Linked DNA regions of Xenopus tropicalis. The protein of the gene in region 1 purifies or fractionates together with the protein of each later gene. This does not show direct contact. Links are inferred from orthologs where the notes say so. Each region holds a gene or a part of one and is shown on either strand. Other genes may lie near its edges.

Evidence for each region.
Region 2: the proteins of tmem63b (region 1) and cxcr4 purify together in Homo sapiens (co-immunoprecipitation; 3 studies listed by BioGRID and IntAct, with this or other methods). This does not show direct contact. The link is inferred for Xenopus tropicalis from reciprocal best matches to the Homo sapiens genes TMEM63B and CXCR4.

What each region holds. Positions count from the first base shown.
Region 1 is NC_030681.2:2,005,206-2,008,705, forward strand, and holds part of tmem63b (CSC1-like protein 2), read left to right. Parts: intron 1-815; coding exon 816-895; intron 896-1,221; coding exon 1,222-1,260; intron 1,261-1,833; coding exon 1,834-1,924; intron 1,925-2,516; coding exon 2,517-2,554; intron 2,555-3,165; coding exon 3,166-3,308; intron 3,309-3,410; coding exon 3,411-3,462; intron 3,463-3,500. UniProt on the Homo sapiens protein: Mechanosensitive cation channel with low conductance and high activation threshold. Osmosensitive cation channel preferentially activated by hypotonic stress.
Region 2 is NC_030685.2:81,967,511-81,971,436, reverse strand, and holds the start of cxcr4 (C-X-C chemokine receptor type 4), read right to left. Parts: upstream 2,801-3,926; 5' UTR 2,735-2,800; coding exon 2,726-2,734; intron 1,073-2,725; coding exon 5-1,072; 3' UTR 1-4.

The DNA.
Region 1 (3,500 bases):
TCCTGCCCTGCTTTATGGCTGAGATTCTAGCTATCTGTATAACAGAGCATTCTGTCACAGTGGCACAGATCCTATCTGACCCCCCCCCCCCCCCCCCATTGCTGACTTGTCACTCTATTCCAGGCCCTTGGCTGCTGGGGTTTATCACAAGGGCAGGCTGTGCCCCCTCCCATGATGAGTAGTTGCCAATAAGAGGCACAAGGGCTGTGAGTCACATTCAGACGGTCCCTGTGAGTGGCAGTTGGGGGGGGGGGGGCAGATATAAGATATATACTGGGTTAATGGGGCTTTTACATTGTTAGAGGGAGGGGCCTCACAGCATGCAAAGCATTCTGGCTAATTAGGGATCAGATGACATGCCTGCTGCAGCCCGCACTGGTAGCTCTGTAGCGCAGGAGTATGACAAGCTTTTGGCACCTTATGGGGGACATTAGTTGGACCCCCACCCTGTGCGTTTAGCAGTGTGTGAGGCAAAAGTGTAACTGTACCAAGCGCTCCCTTATCTAACTGAGCTGTGCCGTGTGGCACCGACTGATAAGCCCTCCCCCCCCCCCCAGGGGCAGCCTATCTGTCTCTGTCACCCCTCACTAACTGTCATATTAACCCTATGGGCAGAGCAGTACTGATGGTACCAGTCAGGGAGCCCTTTTCCCCTGGCACGAGCCCCACACGTATATATGCCAAGCAACCCAGTAATGAGTGACGTGTTTCCTAGTGGCAACTGCTTAGGGGCAAAGTGTCAGAGACATGAGGAAGGAGGTCCCTGGCCTGCGGAGCTTACAATCTTAATTTGCCTTTCTTTCCTGTCTCCCCAGGCACTGCTCTTTGTTTTCTCTGTCCTAAGGAAAGTAGCGTGGGATTATGGGAGGCTGGCGCTGGTTACGGATGCAGACAGGTGAGTTGGCACCCACAGGGCTGGGGGGGTGATTGCTTCTGTGCCACGGGGTAGGCATGGGTGCCCCAGGCATGTAGCTGCATTTAGGGTGCCTACACCCACGGGGGCTGTTCCATTTTACTCCCCACGTGCAGATTCTGCGAGAGAAAATTGCAGGGCAGGCGTCATGTTTTTTCCCTTGCAGAGCGGGTTCTCCTGGCAGAGCAGGGCGGGTACCGGCAGCACCGGGCAGAGGGCTGCTGGGAGTTTCTGGACAAGCGAGTACTTACAGCAGATTGGACCCATTTTAACTCAGTTTTTATGTTATTTTCTGTGTTTGAACCCAGACAGCGGCGTCAGCGAGTCCCTCAAGAGGAGCACGAATAGTATGTTGTAACTCTCTCCTTGTGGTACCCCTACTGTCACTTTAACTGCCCCCTCTGTGGTGTCTCTTCCACTAACTGTCCTGGCTGCACTCTCTGTATGTGGGCACAGAAAGCACCTGTCCCAAGCCTGGCACTCATATACTGGAACCCACGGGCCTATATACCTCCAGTAACAGGAAGTTCCTGCTGGAATAGAATGTTGGCACAGGAAGTGCACTGTGCAAAGGGAATTCCCTCCCCCTGACTGCTGAAGAGAGAACATGAAACTCCCTGCACCTTTCCATGTACAGTATCAGAACATTGTAGGTGCCCCTGGGGGGGGGGGTAGTTGTACCAGCTGGGCGCACTCCTGGCCAATCAGACTTTTGGGACCGGTGCTTTGCTGCATTTTGGGGTTGGACGGACCTGTGACTCCTAGTTCCTCTCTGCCTCTCGGGGTAACAAGTACTAACTTCTGTCTCTCCCAATCAGATCTCTGAGTGATTTAACCACTTAACTACCAGCGGTTTCCCCCTCCTGCAGTGCGTCCGTGGCTTGGGGGCCCCTTCTAACCAATGTCTTCCTTCCACGCAGCGTGGCCTCCGCGATGCACTCCGATAACCACGACCGCTACGAGCGCCTCACCTCCGTCTCCAGCTCCGTGGACTTCGAGCAGCGCGACAACGTGAGTGCATGCTGGGAAATAAAGGGGACGTAAAGACTTGTAAGGCTGCGCATCTTACTCATCAGGAGGGTTCTGGTGCTGGTACTGGTGCTGGTACTGGTACTTGCTCACAAGTGGGTTGGGCTCAAGCTAAGGGTGGCGGGGGCTCATTATTTGTGGGACTGGGCCAGATGTTTTTTTATATCTTCTGTCCTGGCCTATTGAGTTCAGACTAATCACCCAGCCCTTCAGTCAGTTTAACCCTTGAATTTCTGCAACTCTCTTTGCTGGTTTTGGCTTAGAAATAGGTCAGGTACCAGTTTGGGTTTGGGTTGCACGCCCTGCTGCTGACAGACAGTAATTCTTACTGGGATACTGGGCCCCTATCTTAGATTGTGAGCTCTTGGGTACAGCTAAAACGTGACCCGCCACCCAGAAACACAGACATTCCCATTCCTTTTATTTTTTTGGGGGGGGGTGGAGTGGGGGTGGAGTGGGGGGGGCATAAAAATGTTTAGAAATGAACAGGTAGGTGGGTGTTTTATTGGGCGGGTACCCGCTGTGCCCGTAGGTAGGTTGGTCTGTGTGTAACGTCTCACTCTTCCCTCTGCAGGGGTTTTGCTCCTGGCTCACCGCCATCTTCAGGATCAAGTGAGTTGTGTGCCCCTCCCAAACAGACTGACCTGGGGGGTCCTCTTTGTGCCCCCTCCCCTAACGTACTTACCTCTGGGGGGTGCTCTTTGTGCCCCCTCCCCTAATGTACTTACCTCTGGGGGGTCCTCTTTGTGCCCCCTCCCCTAACGTACTTACCTCTGGGGGGTGCTCTTTGTGCCCCCTCCCCTAACGTACTTACCTCTGGGGGGTCCTCTTTGTGCCCCCTCCCCTAATGTACTTACCTCTGGGGGGTGCTCTTTGTGCCCCCTCCTCTAACGTACTTACCTCTGGGGCACTACTGCGCCTTATGCACTCCTTCCCTTAACAGACTGACCTCTGGGGGTCCACTTTGTACCCCTTACCCATCCCCTTCTGTGTTCTGTGTACCCCCACGGACTGCTCTGCTCCCACCCTCCCACCTAACAGACCTCTTGGGGGGGTGGATTCGTGTTCTCTGTGCTTTGTACCCCCTTCCCCCCCCCCCCGTGCACTGTGTTTAATGTCCATAGGGACTGACCTATAGGGGGCGCTGCCCATGCCTCTGACTCGCTGGGGGGCTCCTGGCTACTGTATGAGGCTCACCTGGATTCTCTTCCCCCCCCCCCCAGGGATGATGAGATCCGGGACAAGTGCGGTGCCGATGCAGTTCATTACCTGTCCTTCCAGCGCCACATCATTGGGCTCCTGGTGGTAGTTGGGGTTCTCTCGGTGGGCATCGTGCTGCCTGTTAACTTCTCTGGAGACCTGCTGGGTAAGAGCCCCCCGAACCCTGTGTGCTGCCCCCCTAACCCTGTGTGCTGCCCCCCCTAACCCTGTGTGCTGCCCCCCCTAACCCTGTGTGTATCTCATGCAGAAAACAATGCCTACAGCTTCGGGAGAACCACCATCGCTAACCTGGACTCCAGGTAGGTCCAGTGAGAAGCACATCCGCGCCCGCAGCATT
Region 2 (3,926 bases), on another chromosome or scaffold:
ACTGTTAGCTGGAGTGGAAACTGGAGGATTCGGATTCTGTTGAGACAGAAGAAAGTCCGGCTCGCTTTTTGGACAATATTTTTAAGCTTGAGCCCCTGCTGACCGATGTGAAGGCATTCTGAGCGGAGGTCTTGAATTTGGCCCCAAGGAAGGCGTAGAGGATGGGGTTGAGGCAGCAGTGGAAGAAGGCCAAGGCCTCCGTGATGGATATGGCTTTGTGTAGGGTGTTCTCCCAAATACAGTCGGCCTTCAACAGCCCAAGCAACATGAATGTGTCGGTAGTGAGGCAGACATAGTAAGGAAGCCAACAGGCGAAGAAGGCCAAGATGAGGATGACGGTGGTCTTTAAGGCTTTGCGCTTCTGGTGGCCCTTGGAGTGGGAAAGCTTTGATATGATGACACAGTAACAGATCAGAATGATCAGACCAGGCAAGATAAGTCCAACCGTGATGTGCAGGAACCTAAACCCAACAGTCCAAGTCTCCCGGTTGTCGATGGGGTAAATGCGGTCGCACACGAACTGCCCATTTTCATCGCTGACCCGAGCAAACACCAAGTCGGGCACCGTCAGCAGAAGGGCTGGAAGCCACACGCCGGCGTACACCACTTTGTCGGCCAGCATCTTCCTCGAGCCTTGGCTGTTGGTGGCATGGACAATCGCCAAGTAGCGGTCGAGGCTGATGAACGCCAGAATCAGAACGCTGCTGTACAGGTTGACAGTATAAATGACATGGACCGCCTTGCAGAGGAACTCCTTAAAGTACCATCCAATGGCAGCATCCACAGACCAGAAGGGCAGGGTGAACACAAAAAGCAGGTCGGCCACCGAAAGGTGCAGCCGGTATTTGTCCGTCATGGTCCTGGATTTCTTTTGATAGCCCATGACCACCACCACCAGTCCATTCCCGATGATGCCCAGCAGGAAAATGAAGGAGTAGATCGTGGGCAAGAAGATCCGGTTAAAGTCGCTGTTGTCGTGCATGAAGCACGGCTCACTGAAATCCTCAAAGTCCCCGGAACCATTCTCCGTGGAGTTGCTGTCAAATATATTGATATCGATGCCACCGGAAAACTGCAAGAGACAAGGGATTTGTTAGATGGGATGCAGACTAAACAGCGTGACTGTCAGCCCCATAGGGACTCCAGTGCAATAAACTATATATATATATACACAATAATTTATGCTTCCTTCAGCTCTTATTGCTTAGTAAGTCAGGAAACACTTTCACGTGTCACAAACAAGTATAAGAGAACCCGACGCCAGATTATTGGACTTGGCCAGTACAAAAGCAGAAACGAGTACAGGAATTTTAGCAGCAACAATAACAACACAATCAGGGCTTAAGAATCAGCGAAGGGACTTGTGCCAGGGTTGAGATCAGTGCCAGGTTGGCTACTAAATGGCACTTAGAGAAGCCGGCGAGTGTGCTTCGGTGCCCTACTATACCCTTACACAGCAATGTCTGCGCTACTCTCTCTGCTTACTCACTGGGCTTACTAAAGGGTTCTACACATCGGTGTGGCAACAAGCGGTTTCCTCTTCTGAAATGAACAAAACAACTTTCTTTTGGGGTTACACACAGGGGAGCCCACTGATTTGCCAGAGACCCATGAAAGGGAAGTTGGGGCTGAGTCAGGTCAGAGCAACGGTTTTTTGAATACAGCGATGTACAGGGCTGGGGGGGTGTGAGAAAAAGAGGGGGATAGAATAAAAGGCGCACAATAATATATGTATATATTTATCTATATACACAGATACACAATTTGTGCACTTCTCAGTGACTTGCTCAGTTCAGGGGATAGTAATGGAACAATGGAACAGTGCAAGAGATCAGTACTAGTGCTCTAGGATCAGTATTAGTGTAAGGCATCAGTAGTAGTGCAAGGGATCTATACTAGTTCAATAGGATCAGAATTAGTGTAAGGGATCAGTAGTAGTGCAAGGGATCTATACTAGTGCAATAGGATCAGAATTAGTGTAAGGGATCAGTAGTAGTGCAACAGGATCAATACCAGCGCAAAAGGTTTAGTAGTGGTGCAAGGGATCAGTACTAGTGCAACAGGATCAGTATCAGAGCAATAGGATCTGTATTAGTGCAAGGCATCAGTAGTAGTGCAAGGGATCTATACTAGGGCAATAGGATCAATACTAGCGCAATAGGATCAGTAGTAGTGCAATGGATCTATACTAGATCAATAGGATCAGTATCAGAGCAATAGGATCAGTATTAGTGCAATGGATCTATACTAGTTCAATAGGATCAGTATCAGAGCAATAGGATCAGTAGTAGTGCAAGGGATCTATACTAGGGCAATAGGATCAATACTAGCGCAATAGGATCAGTAGTAGTGCAATGGATCTATACTAGATCAATAGGATCAGTATCAGAGCAATAGGATCAGTATTAGTGCAAGGGATCAATATTAGTGCAAGGGATCAATATTAGTGCAAGGGATCAGTATTAGTGCAAGGGATCAGTATTAGTGCAAGGGATCACTATTAGTGCAAGGGATCAGTATTAGTGCAAGGGATCTATACTAGCGCAATAGGATCATTATAAGCTATAGGGCTATTGCCAAGTTACCCTTTAGTCCCATACAAAGGCTCTATACCCCGCCTGTGCCCAGCTGTCAGACCCCTGGCACTTGGGCAGAACGTCCCCCCCATGCTGTGCCCAGAGCTGCCCAATAGGATTAGAATATAAATATAATGCCTATGACTTACCCCGTCCATGCCGGCAATAGATCCGATAATGTCCAGTTGCTGCTCCAGGGCTGCAGATAAGAAGGTCCCACTGCACTCACAATCCACTAATCGCACCGACTGACTGAGGAGAAAGCGCCGCGCTGAGCTTTATAAGTGCCCGCCCCAGCCCGCGCATGCGCAGAGCCCGCCCAGTCCGGAGCGTTCCCAGGCGGCACAATAGCGCATCTCCTGCAGCATCTGCACCGGGGGCGCAGCCCTTTGTTCTCTCACATCTGCACAGAACATCAGCCCGGGGGCGGAGCTGGGCGGCGGGGGGAGCTGCCCCATGTTTTGATTTCAAAGTTGTTTTCCTGACTGTGCAGGTGCAGCGGGGTATAATGGGTTCCTATGGTATGTACGTACGTGGGGGGGGGGGGGGGGGGGAATTAGCCACACGAGTGACGGGACAGTGGGGCGGCTGCTGCTTTGGCTCAGTTACCCCCAGCCCTTCCCTCCTTCATCCCCATCATCATCATCAGCGCTTACACTGGGGGTACAGAGACAGGTGGGATTCCTCTGCCATTAACCCTGTGTTTCCCTCTCTCTACCTGCTTTATTATTACTCACCTCTATCTATAATCACTTACCTGCTCTTCATCTCTCTGTCTCTCTGTCTGTCTGTCTGTCTGTATATCTGTTTCTCTCATATAATCATATTATGTATTTAACTGTCTGCCTAAACCAATTATATGCTCTTTAACTAATATTCTACCTATCTCTATGAAATATTTACATCATATATCAGACTATAATCTATCTATCTATCATCTATATATATATATCTATCATCTATCTATCTATCTATCTATCTATCTATCATCTATATCTATCTATATCTATTTATCTATCTATCTATCATCTATATCTATCTATATCTATCTATCATCTATCTATCTATCTATATCTATCATCTATCTATCATCTTTCTATCATCTATCTATCTATCTATCTATATCTATCATCTATCTATCATCTATCTATCATCTATCTATCTCTATCTATCTATCTATCATCTATCTATCTATCTATCTATCTATCTCTATCTATCAATCAATCAATCAATCAATCAATCATCTATCATCTATCTATATATCATCTATCTATCTACATCTATCTATCTATCATCTATCTATCTATCTATCTATCTATCTATCTATCTATCTATCTATCTATCTATCAT